Drosophila melanogaster: one gene and its partners. The protein of the gene in region 3 interacts with the protein of the main gene of each other region in a pairwise test. Each region holds a gene or a part of one and is shown on either strand. Other genes may lie near its edges. The genes, in order: CG34166, CG3604, Pex3 and CG11357.

What was found.
Region 1: the proteins of Pex3 (region 3) and CG34166 interact in a two-hybrid assay, tested with the Drosophila melanogaster proteins (one large-scale study listed by BioGRID).
Region 2: the proteins of Pex3 (region 3) and CG3604 interact in a two-hybrid assay, tested with the Drosophila melanogaster proteins (one large-scale study listed by BioGRID).
Region 4: the proteins of Pex3 (region 3) and CG11357 interact in a two-hybrid assay, tested with the Drosophila melanogaster proteins (one large-scale study listed by BioGRID).

The regions. Positions count from the first base shown.
Region 1 is NT_033779.5:14,741,192-14,744,386, reverse strand, and holds CG34166 (uncharacterized protein), read right to left. Parts: upstream 1,195-3,195; 5' UTR 1,092-1,194; coding exon 1,080-1,091; intron 1,006-1,079; coding exon 769-1,005; 3' UTR 508-768; downstream 1-507. Other genes in the region: CG42586 (uncharacterized protein), read left to right, coding at 2,586-2,597, 2,665-2,922.
Region 2 is NT_033779.5:3,696,732-3,699,540, forward strand, and holds CG3604 (uncharacterized protein), read right to left. Parts: upstream 1,142-2,809; 5' UTR 1,041-1,141; coding exon 642-1,040; 3' UTR 511-641; downstream 1-510. Other genes in the region: CG10031 (uncharacterized protein), read right to left, coding at 1,855-2,030, 2,096-2,309; CG42464 (uncharacterized protein), read left to right, coding at 2,762-2,809.
Region 3 is NT_037436.4:15,142,773-15,146,886, reverse strand, and holds Pex3 (peroxin 3), read right to left. Parts: upstream 2,533-4,114; 5' UTR 2,338-2,532; intron 2,219-2,337; 5' UTR 2,106-2,218; coding exon 948-2,105; 3' UTR 508-947; downstream 1-507. Other genes in the region: CG32147 (uncharacterized protein), read left to right, coding at 2,878-3,090, 3,177-3,638.
Region 4 is NT_037436.4:4,540,101-4,545,111, reverse strand, and holds the start of CG11357 (uncharacterized protein), read right to left. Parts: upstream 3,062-5,011; 5' UTR 3,008-3,061; intron 2,993-3,007; exon of another isoform or gene 2,470-2,992; 5' UTR 2,205-2,469; intron 1-2,204. Other genes in the region: CG32243 (uncharacterized protein), read left to right, coding at 3,944-4,047, 4,101-4,189, 4,265-4,399, 4,459-4,817, 4,882-5,011.

The DNA of each region.
Region 1 (3,195 bases), on a different chromosome or scaffold from region 3:
AAATTTAAAGGAGCTTACACCTTATCATTAAATACCCTACCAAATACAATCATTTAAAATACTTATTATAACCATTTAAGGTACACATATTTTTACTTAGGACCTCACCTCAAACGTATATGCATGTTTTTTTATATTTCTAAATAGATCGTAAAAATGGTCGTACTCGAAATTTTGTTGAGAGTAATTACATTTCCCTATCATCAGTATTCACTAGAAGTTGATATTTGCAGCCTTGCAATGTTTCTTCAAGAGAATTTGCTGATGCATCGATGAATTCCCAGACCTAATTGAATGACAGAGAACACTGCTCTTATTGAACATGAGAAGGTTCTCGTTCGATCTGTCCACGTTCGTCCGCCTGCCTGTCCGTCCGTCGAGATTAGAGGAACTATAAAAGCTAAAAAGTTGAGCTTAGGCATACAGATTCCAGGGGCATAGACGCAGCGCACGTTTGTTATTTGTTGTAGACACGCCCACAAACTGCCAAAAATTTCGTGGCTATATAACAAATACAATAATATAATATATTATAATATAATAATATAATATAATAGGAAACGAAAAACTCCGCTGCTTGTGTAAAATTTTAACAACTCTAACTGTTGCTTTACTAAACTTACAAGAATTTACGTGAAAGAAGAAAATACATCGGCTTTTTAGCTATTGTAAATAGTAATTTCTGTACATTTTGTGTTGCGACATTAAAAACTTAACTAATTTAAGGGTTTTTAAATTTGGAAAATATTATTTTATTAAGGCTGTATTTTAGTAACGTCCACCGTGTCCGAATCCTTGCTGGCCATGTCCTCCTTGTCCGCCGAATCCTTGCTGGCCGTGTCCACCCTGTCCGAATCCTTGCTGGCCGTGTCCACCCTGTCCGAATCCTTGTTGGCCATTTCCACCTTGTCCGAATCCTTGCTGACCACGTCCACCCTGGCCGTGTCCACCCTGTTGTCCATAGCCAGCGGCAAAGACCACAGCGATCAAGGCGAAGAAAACAATCTAAAAGAAGAGAAATAAAACAATGTTTAATTCCGAGCCCACCAAAATCCTTGAAAGGAATTTGCAGAGCTTACGAAGAATTTCATTTTGGTAGATTGATTGTTTACACTGTCGAAAGCGTTCTAACTAATTCTATGTAAATGGCAGGGCTTTTATAGCAGGTGGAAGCCGAATGGAGCGATTTGCACCAAAACAAAGTAATAAAAACAAAATTTTCTTATTTTTTGCTTATTATTTCCTATCGAAATCTATATACCCCAAGCTGTGATTATTAGATTAAGCGTCTGCGATGAGGTAGCAAAATTCTAGCACTGCATTAACAGAGCTGATTTCTGATCAGGGGTTGAGGACCTTTAGCCTGATCTTTCTTCTTGTTAATTTGTTTTGCTTATTTTGGAGCTGATTAGCTATATACCGATTAAAAGCTTTTCAATTGCCACTAAAAAAAAAGTATAAGAAACGGCGAAGACTTTTTAGCGCTGCATTTAAATTCACAAGCTTAACAGTATTCTTTTAGGCTGAATTTGCTCTCAAAAAAAGTACAATTGGTTTGGAAAATTTTAAATGTTTTTGAATGTAACCAAACACAGCGAAAAAAAATACAAATAATATTTCTTTAAAAAAAAGGATGTAAAGAAATAAACTAGTCTTATTAGTTTAATAAATACAATTTTTTAAGACACATAATTTCTATGTTTTTATAGACGGTACTTGTGGAGTAATTGAGTATACCAAATTCTTTAAAAAGTCTGTGGGAGTTCGAAGAAGGCGTTGCCGAACCTTTACCTATACAGAATATATATATTCTTCACCAGCATCACCAGCGGAGTCTATCTAGCCGTATTCGTTTGGCCATCTGTCTGTAAGCCTGTCTGTATGAACTGAATGAGATTCAGACCTCTAAATAGTTCCAATTCTTTCAGAACCTGTGCCAACAACACTCTAGATTCTTCATTGATTTCATCTAGTCTTGTCTTGTAAATATCTTAGTTCTTCTATTAGCTAAGAAATGGGTATCTGATAATCGAGGAATGCGACTATAGTGGTCTAACCTGTTAAGCGCTAAAATTCAAAGACATAACATAATTATACGTATGTATAAAAAATTAATCCATGATTACAAGGATTTCATACTTAATTATCCCTCCTCATTTCGAAAGTCTAATGATAACCCAGAAAAGCAAACAAGAACATTTGTTGCCGTAACACGTTTGTGATGCGTGAAAACGGAACATAAATGATCTAAAGTAATCTCAAACAACGTCTTCTTCTAAGTCGCCCTTAGTTTTTCTTAGCAACTGTTGCGGACTTATTAGATTAGGCTCGACTTCCCAGATAAGATTGATGTTGAAGGGTTCCCCCCGTTGAGCATAGGCATTGATACAGTGCTCAAATATTAATTTCCCAGACGTCTGGAAATTTTTTTCGTATTTTTGTTGGGTTAATTGTACTTGATTTTGTCAGAACATTGATAATACTTCGGCGCGTGACGACATGATGAGATTGCAGGAGAGTATAAAAGATCGGAGGCGTCCAAAAATTTTATTCACATTAGCAAGACTAACCGAAGTATCAGCACCATGAAGTTTTTGGTACGTTTTACATATACGCTTCAAAGAAAAACCTTTAAGAACTAAGTTGATTTTAATATTGTTACAGATCCTCTTCATTGCCCTATTCGCCGCGGCCGCTGCCCTACCTCAGTTTGGATTCGGCGGTGGATTCGGTGATCAGCAGCAGCAGCAGCAAGGAGGATTTGGAGGTGGATTTGGTGATCAGCAGCAGCAGCAAGGAGGATTTGGCGGTGGATTCGGAGGTGGATTCGGTGATCAGCAGCAGCAGCAGCAAGGAGGATTTGGAGGTGGATTCGGAGGTGGATTCGGTGATCAGCAGCAGCAACAGCAACAAGGCTGGTAAAAACCAATTCATAGCACCGTCTTAACGCAGATACCTCAATAAAAATATGACACCTTTATGATAAAAAAACAATTGGAATTTTTTACTTTATCGTTCTCGAAAATTTATGAGTTTTATGAAAATAAATTTATATTTATTATTCATTTATATTTATTAAATAGTGCCCAGAAATAAATACACTTAACATAAGGGACAACGGGAAATATCTTCTCTTTCAGATGTTCAAATGGTTTTACTTAAAACATTGTAAATATAAATAAAAGCCAAAATATA
Region 2 (2,809 bases), on a different chromosome or scaffold from region 3:
TATCTATATGCTCATGAACTTTCGGTTCATTAACGAGTGCTCGTGAATTTGGTATATAAACAGACGAGACTTCGAGTACTATGTGCTAGTGCTAGTGTTTGTACTGAAAATAATGCCGGAATAGCAAATAAATCTAGGAACTACGTTCTGAATAAAGTAAACACGATTAGGCAGCGATTTGTCATTCGGAAGTGGGTTTGTCCGATTTTTTCCCAAATTTCATTTATTTCCTCTTTTGCTTGTATAATATATTTATACATTTCGTTTTCAGAATCTTTGCGATATAAGTGCATTATAAAAGTAGTCATATTTTATCAAAATTACTGTTTACACTGTTTAGTTCCCAAGATTAATTAAAATCGTCTATTCATGACTCAAGTTTTTGTGAGTCCGTCGGGTTTCGAAATTAATGACTTTCCGAGATGTACTGCTAACCACTTCTGACACTTACAAATGTATCTACATACTGTACTGCTAGTACCAGATGTGCGAATAAAACGAAATAGATATATAAATCACAATGGTATATTTATTAAAATTTATAATCAAATTATTCAAATAATCAACTCAGTAAAGAAATGCTTTTAAAAGGCTGATGAAGTTGGATGACAAATAAATTACAAACTAAGAACTACAATTTTTTAAGACGAGGTGCTAGTTTCTGTGGCCACTTCGCTGTTTTGTTCGGTTGTTGAGTCCGTGGAGGAAACCGCAGACTTTACCAAACATGCCTGTTCGCACTGCTCCTTGGATTCGAAGTTGTTCTTGTTGCCGGCACATCCACCGTAAACGAACTCCTCGCAGGATTGTGTATCCACGTTGTAGGCGTAGCGATAGAACAGAGCGAAACAGCGACCGGTTTCCTTGGGCTGATGACAGTCCTCCGGAACAGTGAGCTCACTGGCATCAGGCAGGGGTTTGGCCACCGCGGGCTCCTCCGCCTTCTCCACGACGACATCCGAGGGAGCTGCACGAATTCCGGCTGCCAGGAGCAGAACAGCCGCGAATACTATGAAACTGAAGCTATATCTAAAGCACATTTCGAGTCCGTTGAGTGGATGATGAGCGAATGATTTCGGCTCGCTCGGATATTGCGGCTTAAATACTATCCGTCCGAACTGATTAACTCACGTACTACTATACTCACTCAACTGGGTTTTTGCCCACCGTTTTGCCTCTTTTTGTGTACTTCATTTATCGGAGCGCCAGCTTGTTTGTCCAACTGATTCGTCGCCGCATGTAAATCACGGCGGTGCCTCTCTGACGTCTATATCCACGTCCATATCGATATCACCTGGCACTGACAGCTCTCGGAGAAGCTTTCGCGGCCCAACCTTCAATTGCAGATCAACGCACCAACGCAAGTCAATCATAATGCTGGCCATAAAATCATATTCCAAGTGGCTTCCGTATCGGTGTGACAATTTTAGTCAGCCAAATCACGTTTAGCGAGCGGAATGGGAATCTAACTGAATTACCTATAAACTGGTTAACTGTCGGTTGAAGTTTTTTGTGTATCTAACGAATGGGGTAAGCTTTGGAGCTTCAGAAGAAATGAATAAACTGTCTGGTTAAGAAATGTTCCTAATAATCGCTCGTTTGCGATTCTAATCATTAGGTAATTTTCAAAATTGCGCATATAGGTGGAAAATAATGCACTTAATTTCTTAATTCCAATTATAGATAAACATTTGATATACTGCTTACTTGTAATTAGTTAATTATTAAACGTATATATTTCGCATTAGCAAAAACCCATTTCAAGTAATTATTTTAAAAATACATCAACAAATAATTTCATCTAGCATTTACAATTTAAAAACAATCTCGTATTTTGTGACCGCCATCAATGGATCACTTTTTGGGAATACAAGCCTCCTCACAAGTTTGTCGGAATCCCCAACGATTGTCATTGCCTCGACATCCTCCGTACTTGAAGGTCTCGCAAGCTTTTGAATCCTTGTTGTAGTAGAACCTTTCTAGGCTCATGCGGCATGGACCAACGTCCAAGGGCTGCAGGCATTTGGGATCTACAAATTAAGGGATTTAATAAAGGTCCATAAAAGTTCTTCGATCAGTTTATAAATAAACATACCTGGTACCAGTCTCTGTGGTTTGATTGTAGTTGTGGCAACTGCAGGCTTGTTTCCCGATGGATTTCCAGGTTGCACCTGAACCACAGCCTTCGGTTTAATATTGTTATTATTATTATTATTATTATTGGGAGTGGCTACTGCCTGCGTAAGTTGCATAAGACTTAGCAAAACGAGTGCCGCAAGGCAGAGAAACTGGGTCATCCGCAGAAGCATTTTGTGTTTGCAACCTGATAACTGAACGTTAAAAGCAACGACTGTGAACTGAACTGTTCCGAATGTTCCATATTCCAGTTCTATATGCTGTGCTTAGACGATCAATTACGTTCAAATTAAATCATTTGCTCACTCTCTGCTCATCCATGTGTGAGTTAAGCTCGCATTGCGCATACGCCGTGTTGAACGCTGGCGAGATTAATTAAATAATTTCAACAAAGCAAACAGATAGCACATAATTGGAACGCATTTTCGAACTCATAGTGCTCGCATAATAATATATACTTGAATCGAATAAAATAAACAAAAAGCGATACCCTATCACTTGAAAGAAAACTGTAGACTTTTCAAATTAGGCACACTTTAAGCCAGGTTATTGCGAATTATAGAATTATAAAGACATCTTTCACGAGAAAGGTCTTCAATCTAAACAAAGTTTTACCGGGAAAAAGATGTTCATCAATATATGGTATTTATTCATAGCATTAGCTGGTGTTAAT
Region 3 (4,114 bases):
AAGTGCTTGAAGAGAGTGAACAAGGGAGAGAGCGGCAAGAACAAGAGAAATGGCAAACAAACAAAAGCCACAGACACAGCTGTCTTATCACAGGGCGGTTTTCTGCCACCCCCTTTTGACTGATAGCAAAGACAACCGTTACTTGTGGGTTGTGTCTTCGATAATTCAATTCTTATATTTTTATACATATTAAGCATTTATAACAAGAGAGAATGCTATAGTCGAGTTCCCCGATTATCAGATAACCGTTGCTCCGTTACTAAATTAATATATTATGTACATTTAAAACCGCAAACTGTTAGAAACTTGGAGGAAAAAGTATATAAGAATCTCGTATATCTCCGACATAATTATTGAATTTATTTCTTATTAATTCAATACAAGTATGCACCTATGTACGCATGTATAATTTATCATTCTATAAATCAATATCTGTTTTAATTAGCTGTAAGAATAAAAAGAATAAGTTCCTTCAAAAACTTTAATATGCAAAATAATAGTCTTTAAATACGGGGAATGCATAGTTTATTAGGTTGCCATTTGTTTACACTTCCTTTAAGATTAAGACCCAAGCTTTCTAGCATGGTATAAATAAATAATCTGTCACTTATCATTCTATTAATCAATTACACTTTAAATTACATTTTCATATAGTTTGGATACTAAACTACCCTCAGGTCCATCCTATATGATTCTCTCATATGTTGCATTTCCTAACTTTCCATTTAGATTAAAAGGCCTTCACGTTACTCGATTTGTGTCCCTGCCCTGAAAGGATTCCCCGTGGACGAAGCTAAACCTAATACGGGTTGGGTTCAAGCAGACATACAAACAATGCTTCTGAGAATACAGATCTTATTAAAAATATACAAGTATATAAACTATAATTTTCCAATTGTCTTAGCCTAGCCTATGCACGGATGCATAATCCAAGTTTTGTTGATCCTCTAAGCGGAGCTAAAGCTTTCGTAGACGTTGGCCCCCAGCGTCTTTGTCTTCTCGGCGACCACGTAGAAGGTTAGCAGTTGGGTGGGCAGATTGTGGGGTCGCGAAGTGGTATCGAAGCCTCTCGAGGTGAGACCACTGATGATAGGAATGAGCTTTGCCAACGCCAACAGCACTCGGTTGATGTTCAGCAAGTTATTGTTCTCCAGACCGTTTTGGCTCTTCGAGGTGCTGGCGCCTAAGCTTCCTGCCTGGTTAAACTTGACGCTCTGTTCTTGCTGCGTTTGGACTTTAGCTTGTGGCAGATGCTGCAAAGTTTCGCCCATGCTTTCGGCGATGGCATCGCAGGCCAGCACAAAACCACGGCTTACATTGTGCGAGCACACGCCAACGGCATCCTCGCTCTCCAACAGATCCAGCGTCTCGTTGACCATCTTTTGCAGCAGCGGCGAATGACTGGGATTCTGGCTGGGCAGCAGATACTTGCTCATTCGCGAGTTGGGATCCCGACGAGTGTCCGCATTGATGGCCATTTGCAGTGACCAAAACAGTTGCTCCAGGTCGCTAAGGGAAAGCTGTTCGGAGAGCGGTATGGTCTTGGTGACTGCGATGACCTGGGTGCGAATGTAACGGGCTAAGTCCCGGATGCCCGAATCCGTGATAAAGTGTCGGATGAGGGAGAGATACTGCTGCTTTAGCTCGTCGGTGACTTGTTTTTGTTCCGTCATGATGTCCCGATAGATGTAGCCACCGAGAAGATTTAGCTGGACCCTCAACGCAATAACCAGCATGGAGGAGGCGTAGACATAGGTTGCCAGTCTTGTGAATGCCACAATTTTCATGTCCTCCCAAAGTTCCAACTTGTTCTTGGGATTCTGGCGCAGCTGCTCGAGCAGCTCGTCCGTGCTGCACTCCCTCAGAACCGCTTGGCACATCTCCTCGCCCATGCCTAGGATCACCTGGTTACACGTCTTCTCCGTCGACTCAAAGTGGGTCGTGCGCCGCGTTCTCTCGAAGAATTCCCTGGCCTGTTTCTCCTGGAACTCCACGAATCGCCGTTGTGCATAACGTGCCGCAAAGATGGTACCGCCCACCAGAACGCCGGTCACTATGAACTTTCGCCGGTGGCGTGACAAGAAGTCCTGCAGGCGCGACAGCATGTTAACGATTGGAAAAGGCCTCTTCTGCCGGATGGACAACTAGAATCCGCTTCCTGTGTGAAATAGGCCAACTGCTGTTCAGATATCCCACTTTTTCCCGCTCCACCGGCGACCTGTTCGAGGTTAATAAATAGTTAATGTGCAAAGTTCACCTGTGTGCGTAGGGTGGTGCGCTGCCGGCGTCGCTGCCAACAGAGGAGCGTCCTCCACTCATCCGCAGCGATTAGATTACCAGGTAGTGCTCACCTATATACCCCTGCTCGGAAACTCGGATCTGGTGCGCCGCCTTATCGGGTCGATTGCTGGCCTTTGGATCGGATCTAGCTCTGGAATGTATGGAATGGATTTATCCTTTGTTGTTGTCGCTAAATGTGTTATTTCTCTGTTTGGTGCCGCATACTGCGTCGTCTGTTTCCGTTCAAGAAAAATCCCAAAAGTGCGAGGTTCGGGAATACCGAAAAATACCATTTCGTTTAGTATATTTGGTGTTACTGTTTAAATTTTTATTGAAAATGGGGATGCTTTTTAGTTATTTATTTTTTCGTTATTTCGAAGTGGGTTCAAAAAAAAATAGAAAATATAAAATAATGTTAATTCACCTATAAATGACGAAAAATAAAAAACTTCGATATGCTCCAATTTCCACCGTTCCGCCATCGTCGCAAACATTTGAAACGCATGATTCAAAGGGTGAAGAAGAAGATAGAAATCATATGGTATTTAAGATAGTTCTGTTGTTGGTGGGGGGTTTAGTTTAGTTGGGGTGTTTGTTATGGCGTCGTCAGATCGAAAGCTCATTGTAGTCTCCGGATTTGGTCCATTTCTCGGTCACGAAGCGGTCAACGCCAGCTGGGAAGCTGTGAAACTGCTGCCGGAAATCCTAACTCACGATGGCATAGAATATGATCTGGAAAAGCGGTTGGTTTCGGTGGAATACGGGGCTGTGGACGAGGCGGTGGCGGAGATTTGGAAACGCCAGCCATATGTAAGCATCGCAATTGAACCATAAATAGATAGAGGCCTTATGATATCATCTTTCTCCCAAAAAAATAAAAAACAAAAAAAAAACAGCTTGTTATCCATGTCGGTGTTTCGGGCGTTGCCAAGTGTGTATACATCGAGAAGCTGGCGTACAATCACAAGTTCCGCCGAGCTGATAATTGTGATAAAAAACTGGCCAACGGCACTTGCGAACTACCCAACAATGGACATGCAAATGTCTTGAAGACCGAATTAGATGTGGATAAGATTGTGGCGGTTGTAAATGAGAATTGCGCCGATTGTGTGGGACCCACACAACAGCCGACACATAATGATAATCTCAAATCCCTGAGCGCCACAAAGGCATCCAAAAATGTGGGTGACTTTCTCTGCGGCTATATCTATCTGAAATCGCTCGATATGGACAGAAAACGAAGCCTGTTTGTCCATGTACCTCCTGTAGATAGGCCATTTAGTAGTGTTAAGACTTCGGAAATACTTTTTAGCATAGTCGAACAATGCATTCAACAGGTGGTCGCTTTTGACTCCTGAATTCCGCAAAATATTCTTCCAATATCTGTCTTTTTAAGAATTATTTACATGTGTGCTGTTAAGTTGTTTAAGAAATGAGTTTTATTCTTTTTAAGATACAATATTTTATATTTACTTTTTATTACAATGAAACAGAGAAGCAATACAACTGCATTAATAATTACACAGTCTTTTTTGCGTTTACACAACACCAGTCTTTATTTTAAAAAGGGTAAATGACATAAAGAGAATGACGTAAGTTATTTAAAATAAAATTTAATAAAAAAAATGAATTAAAAAGAAGAATTATAAGGCCTTTACAAATTGCCTTATGTTAAATACAAGTTAACTTATATACAATACAATACGATACTATTTATATCACAATATTTTAAAATTATGGTATTCGAAAAAACCGTAATATTTAAAAAAAAAATAGTACATTACTGAATTAGTTAAATATAAAAATAAAACTTCAAATATATAAACGAGATCCT
Region 4 (5,011 bases), about 11 Mb from region 3:
TTGGGAAGTTCACATTTCTGGAAACTTGCTCGGTTCGGCTCGCGATTTGCACTCAATTAAATTTTTTGCTGATAAAAATTAAAACGAACTAGACAAACATGATCATGGCCATTTTTTGCTGTTCTTGCAACGCTCGGAATCGCTCGCATGTAAATTAAAGAAATCACACGATGATCCAGTAAGTAAGAAATCCAGTAATAAATTAAAGTTCTCCTGCAGTGCACAAATTTCGTGGATGTCTGGTTTCTATCCATTTACGCGCGCAATCAAGAAATTCCAAATACTTGCAATATTTATAGAATGTATCCACATCAGCAAATGCGTGTGTGAGAAGAGAGGCACGTGTATGTATTTGTTTAAAATAAAAGAACAATTTGCATTATACGAACATAAACTTTTAAAGTATTTTGGTATGCCTTATCTAAACAAATTCACAATGGAAATAAGTGTTATTCTCTCGATGTTCCGCTGGTTTCAAAAAAAAAAAACAATTATCTGATAAACATTATATTTATTTGAAGCATTGAATTTGAAAGTCTCACATGAGGGGATCACATGATGAAACGGAATGAATTATTATGTTCGAGTATTAGAGTATTATATTCTAGCTGATACTAGCACATTGATAAAGACCAAAATACAATTTTCTTAAAATTATTAAGATTGGTGTGCTTATACACAAAATTCTGTGAAACTTGCTACATGCAGATTACTTTTCGCATATCTTAGAAAAGCATGAATAAGTCGAGTGGAGAAACCCAAAAGGAAGTAGAAAACAGTTGAAAGATTAAGTTGTGAGACATAAGGATGTTATTTCATAAACGTACTGTTTAGGATCGCAAATCGCTCGAAATTCGGGTATTAATAATGAATAGCAGTTCGTACGTGTCGAAAATTTCGGCGCGGCAAGGGGGAGTAAAAGAGAAAGCAAAAAGCTGAAAACGTTGACGTGACGTTACGTCGGCGGAGAATCTCGGGGTCACTGTACGGACCAATAAAAGTAACACCGCCGACGTCTAACGCCTCGCACCGCCGGTTATCAGTGGGCCAGAAGGCGCAAACGGGTGAAAAGCGGTGACAGCAGCTGATAGGCAAACAAACAGTCAAGCAAAGCGTATACAACGTTATTTTGCGCCACTGAAAAAAGCGTTAAAGCCCATTCGACAGAGACGGCCGATCGAGGGGAGATGAATGTGGGAAAAAGAGAGAGCGAGAGCTTCTCGCGGAAGCTGGCGCAATTAAAAATCAGAGCTTCGCCAACGAGCATGTGATTGAAAATTTGAAGCGCCAATGCAAACAATGAACTTTAAACTGAACGGAATGATTGTAATTCCTTATAAGCCATAGTGCTCAATAAATTAAACATTAATTTAAAGTACACGTGTTAAATGTCTATTAGCGAAAATCACACAAAAATCGATTTAGATCCAAAATATCGCCCTTAGAGATATGGTGCTATCTTAGTGGGACTCGAACACGGTCTTCTTAGCGACTTCTTCTTCAGATAACAAATCTATTGAATATGTAATAAGTTGAATACATATGACTTGATTGATATCAGGAAAAATTGATATAGAAATGGGTTATTTTTTATTGATAAGCGGTGTATCGGAACTAGTGAGATTTCCACTGTACCTAAGTGATGAGGTAAACACTCTCGCAGTCTTGGGCAAACATTCAGACGGGAGCGAGGCGCACAGAAAGATAGGAAGAGGGAGACGGAGCGAGGCGGCACAGTGGGACAGGCCAAGGACAACGAGTTGAAAAAGGCGAAAAGGAGCAGACGAGCCAAAACGGAGGACAACAAACAGGCATGCGTGCCACTGTGCCTGAACTTGTTCAAGGTCAGTCCTCAGCGACAGCGACGTGCTAACAAAAAGCGAAGAAAATTCATGTTGGAAAAAAGCACAAAAGAAGAGCACACAACAACAACGCCTCTTAAAGGCGAAGAAAAGAGCGAAAGAAGAGATAGATGCGTATATAAAAAACAAAAAAAAAAAACGCTACCCACACATGAAAGAGAGTGAGCGAGAGAGCAAGTGTCCCTCCCCGCAGCAACAATGACAACAATAGGATACTGTTCAATGGATGCTGATAAGCAAAAGTAAAAGACAAAACCCCTCGAAATCTGGAGAGATAGTATCCAAGCACTCGCATAATTAATTTCATACATTTTATGCTTTTTTTTATGTATTAATAGTCACCTGCTGGTTGTTCGCCTGGCTGCTTCCTCATTAGCCAGTCAGTCGAATCCTTGCGGGAGAGCGAGGGAAATGGCAACAAATGTGCGTTTTTAATTAATTTCCATGTGAAGCACTCACGCACACTTACACACACCCATCGCTTTGGGTAACAGTTCAAAAACAGAGTTAGAGCGAAAGAGACACCAATTGGGAGTGCTAATTCAACACACACGCGCACGCAGCACTTAATTTGTATAGATTTTTGGCATCAATTTGTTGTTGGCAGCTGGAATAAATTTACTTAACTTAACACAATTTTCAAGCTTGCACACAACCACACCAACACGAACACCTATACAGACGCGGCGAAAAGAAATGCAAAAGGAGATGAAGAGGAAGAAGAAGAAGCAGGCTGAAGGATGCTGGGCCTGGATTTCTCTTTCCTTTTTTCGCTGCCCAAAAAGGCGTTGACAGCGCTTTTATTCACTTTTAATTCATTTAACGATGGTGTTGTCCGACTTTAATTGTTTATGCGCTTGGGTTTTTTAAGAAAAACTGAATAAAAAACGGAATAACCGCCGTCACTCGTCGAAAAATTCTCGGCGCGGCTATTGTTCACTTATTATCATGTCATATTTTCCAACTGATTTGAAAGACAGTATTTTAGAGAATAAGTATACCGAGCGAGTTATCAGCGACGTGTGCAATTTTTATGCACTTTTTTAATATTTTAAGTGGAAAATAAAACACAGAGCGTTTCAGAGGGCGCTAAATTGTTTTTTGCCCGTTCGGAACTGAGTAACTGAGAAGCGTAGCGTTATTACCAGTCTTTTTCTTCTTTTTTGTTGCTGCCCCGTTCGAATTTCTCTCGCACTGTTAGCCGCTCTCAGTTGCTGTTAAAGCGGCGAAATTCACTGTTATATTTAACAGAGGCGTTGTTGTTAGTTGTAAAGAAGGGCTGTTAAGGGGAGTTGGCTTCATAAAACTTTTTGAATATTCAGAGTTAAAGAAATCTAGTTTTTAACAATATTTGTATCAAAACACATTTAAAAATATTAACATGTTCAGTATTAATATATATTATTTAAGTATAAATTTCAAAAACCCCAGGCATAAGATTTTATATACACCACTGGAATGTTAACTGAAAGCGGGAGATAGGGATGGAACTCAAGCATCGACACGCGTTTAAAATTTGGGGTGACCATTTCTATCGCTTTCTCATCTAGCTTGCCTAGATTTTCAAGATCCATCTGCCAAAATTGCTATCGATTAAAGTGCATCGGCTCAGTCGCCATTCGTAAGTTGTAAATTACGAAGAAACGCAATGATAATTGATTCAACCGATAGGAAACCTATTTTAACTTAACATTAAGATTTTAACTTTTTAAATTGCACTAATATCGTTATCAGCCAACTAAATTTTGTAATTACTTAATTACTTAATAACAAAAATTAGAATAATATTTAATTCGTTGAGTAATAATGCCTTTTATGAAACCTAATTATTTACAAACAGTCGAATGTAAACAATATTGGGGTGATCATAAACATTAAGAGATATACATTTTGATAAGTGTTTTATTTAATGTTTATTTAAATTACAAATATCCCTAATATGACTGGTAAATACATCATATTACTTAGATAGTGACAGTTCGTCAGCACTGACTATCGATAGCCGCCTTTTGTTGCAACTTCCATCTTCTACGTGCAACAGAAGAAGTTCTAGAAATAAGCAGGAATAAAAGTTTGCAAAAATGAGTGCTCCAAAAGGGGACGGAAACTTAGTTCCCACAGTCAGAGAAGTGCAGCAAAAGTTTGCCGACATCCTGGGCCATGGCAACGATATAACCTGGGATCTGTAAGTAGGATTCATCCGAAAAAATTGCAAATTATAAAGCTCAAGGTTTGCAGAATATCGTCGGGTCAAGAAAACATATTGAAGGCAAAGCTGTCTCTGCTGAATTTCGATTCTAACATGTTTCATGCGATCTGGAGTTATAGTGAGTTATAGTTATAGTAAAATTAATAATATATTCCAAATAAGCGTCATTATGTTATCTACTTTCTCATATCAGGAAAATACTCCAAAGGGCAGTCACTCACGTCTTTATTTTTTGTGATGGTTGTCAATAATGTATATGATCCCAAGCTGGCCGAAGAAAGTAGATCCTGGCGCCTGTATCCGGTGTTTCGATGCCGACGATGCGTGGGTAAGCTCGATAGTTATAAGTAAATCGAGAAATGTATTATATTTTTTTATTTGTACAAGATGAAACTGGACATTCCAGCAACATTGACTGTTGCATGTCATATGTGTCACAGTACTCAATGTCTGATTCCTGGAACCGATTTGTGACCCATACGGGGTTTGCCGCAGGTCTAATGGTCACCCCGTATCTTGGAGTTTACAAGCAAACCGATGGTCGCGTTGAGCTAAAAACGTATACTACCACTCAGATATGGCACCCAAATAAGAAAGATATACCAATAACACCCGAATCGTTGAAAAAAGCATCCAGTGTGACTAATAAACTTAGAAAAATCATCATACATTCAGTTCCATTTCTGGTTTATCCTGAAGAGGTTTTCGACTTCTGCGCCAGTGAAAAGATGCTTTCGTCGATTTTGGTATAAACTTCATATTTCATTAACATACATTCGAATTTGTTTAAATTGTTTGTCTTTCATGTAGAATCCTCATAGTTCTACACAATCTGGTGATGTGGCTGGTCTATCCGATTCCTTAGTATTATTTACGAATAATCTGTACAATTCACGCCTTGAATCGCTGATGAATAATAATAATAATGATCCCAGCATTT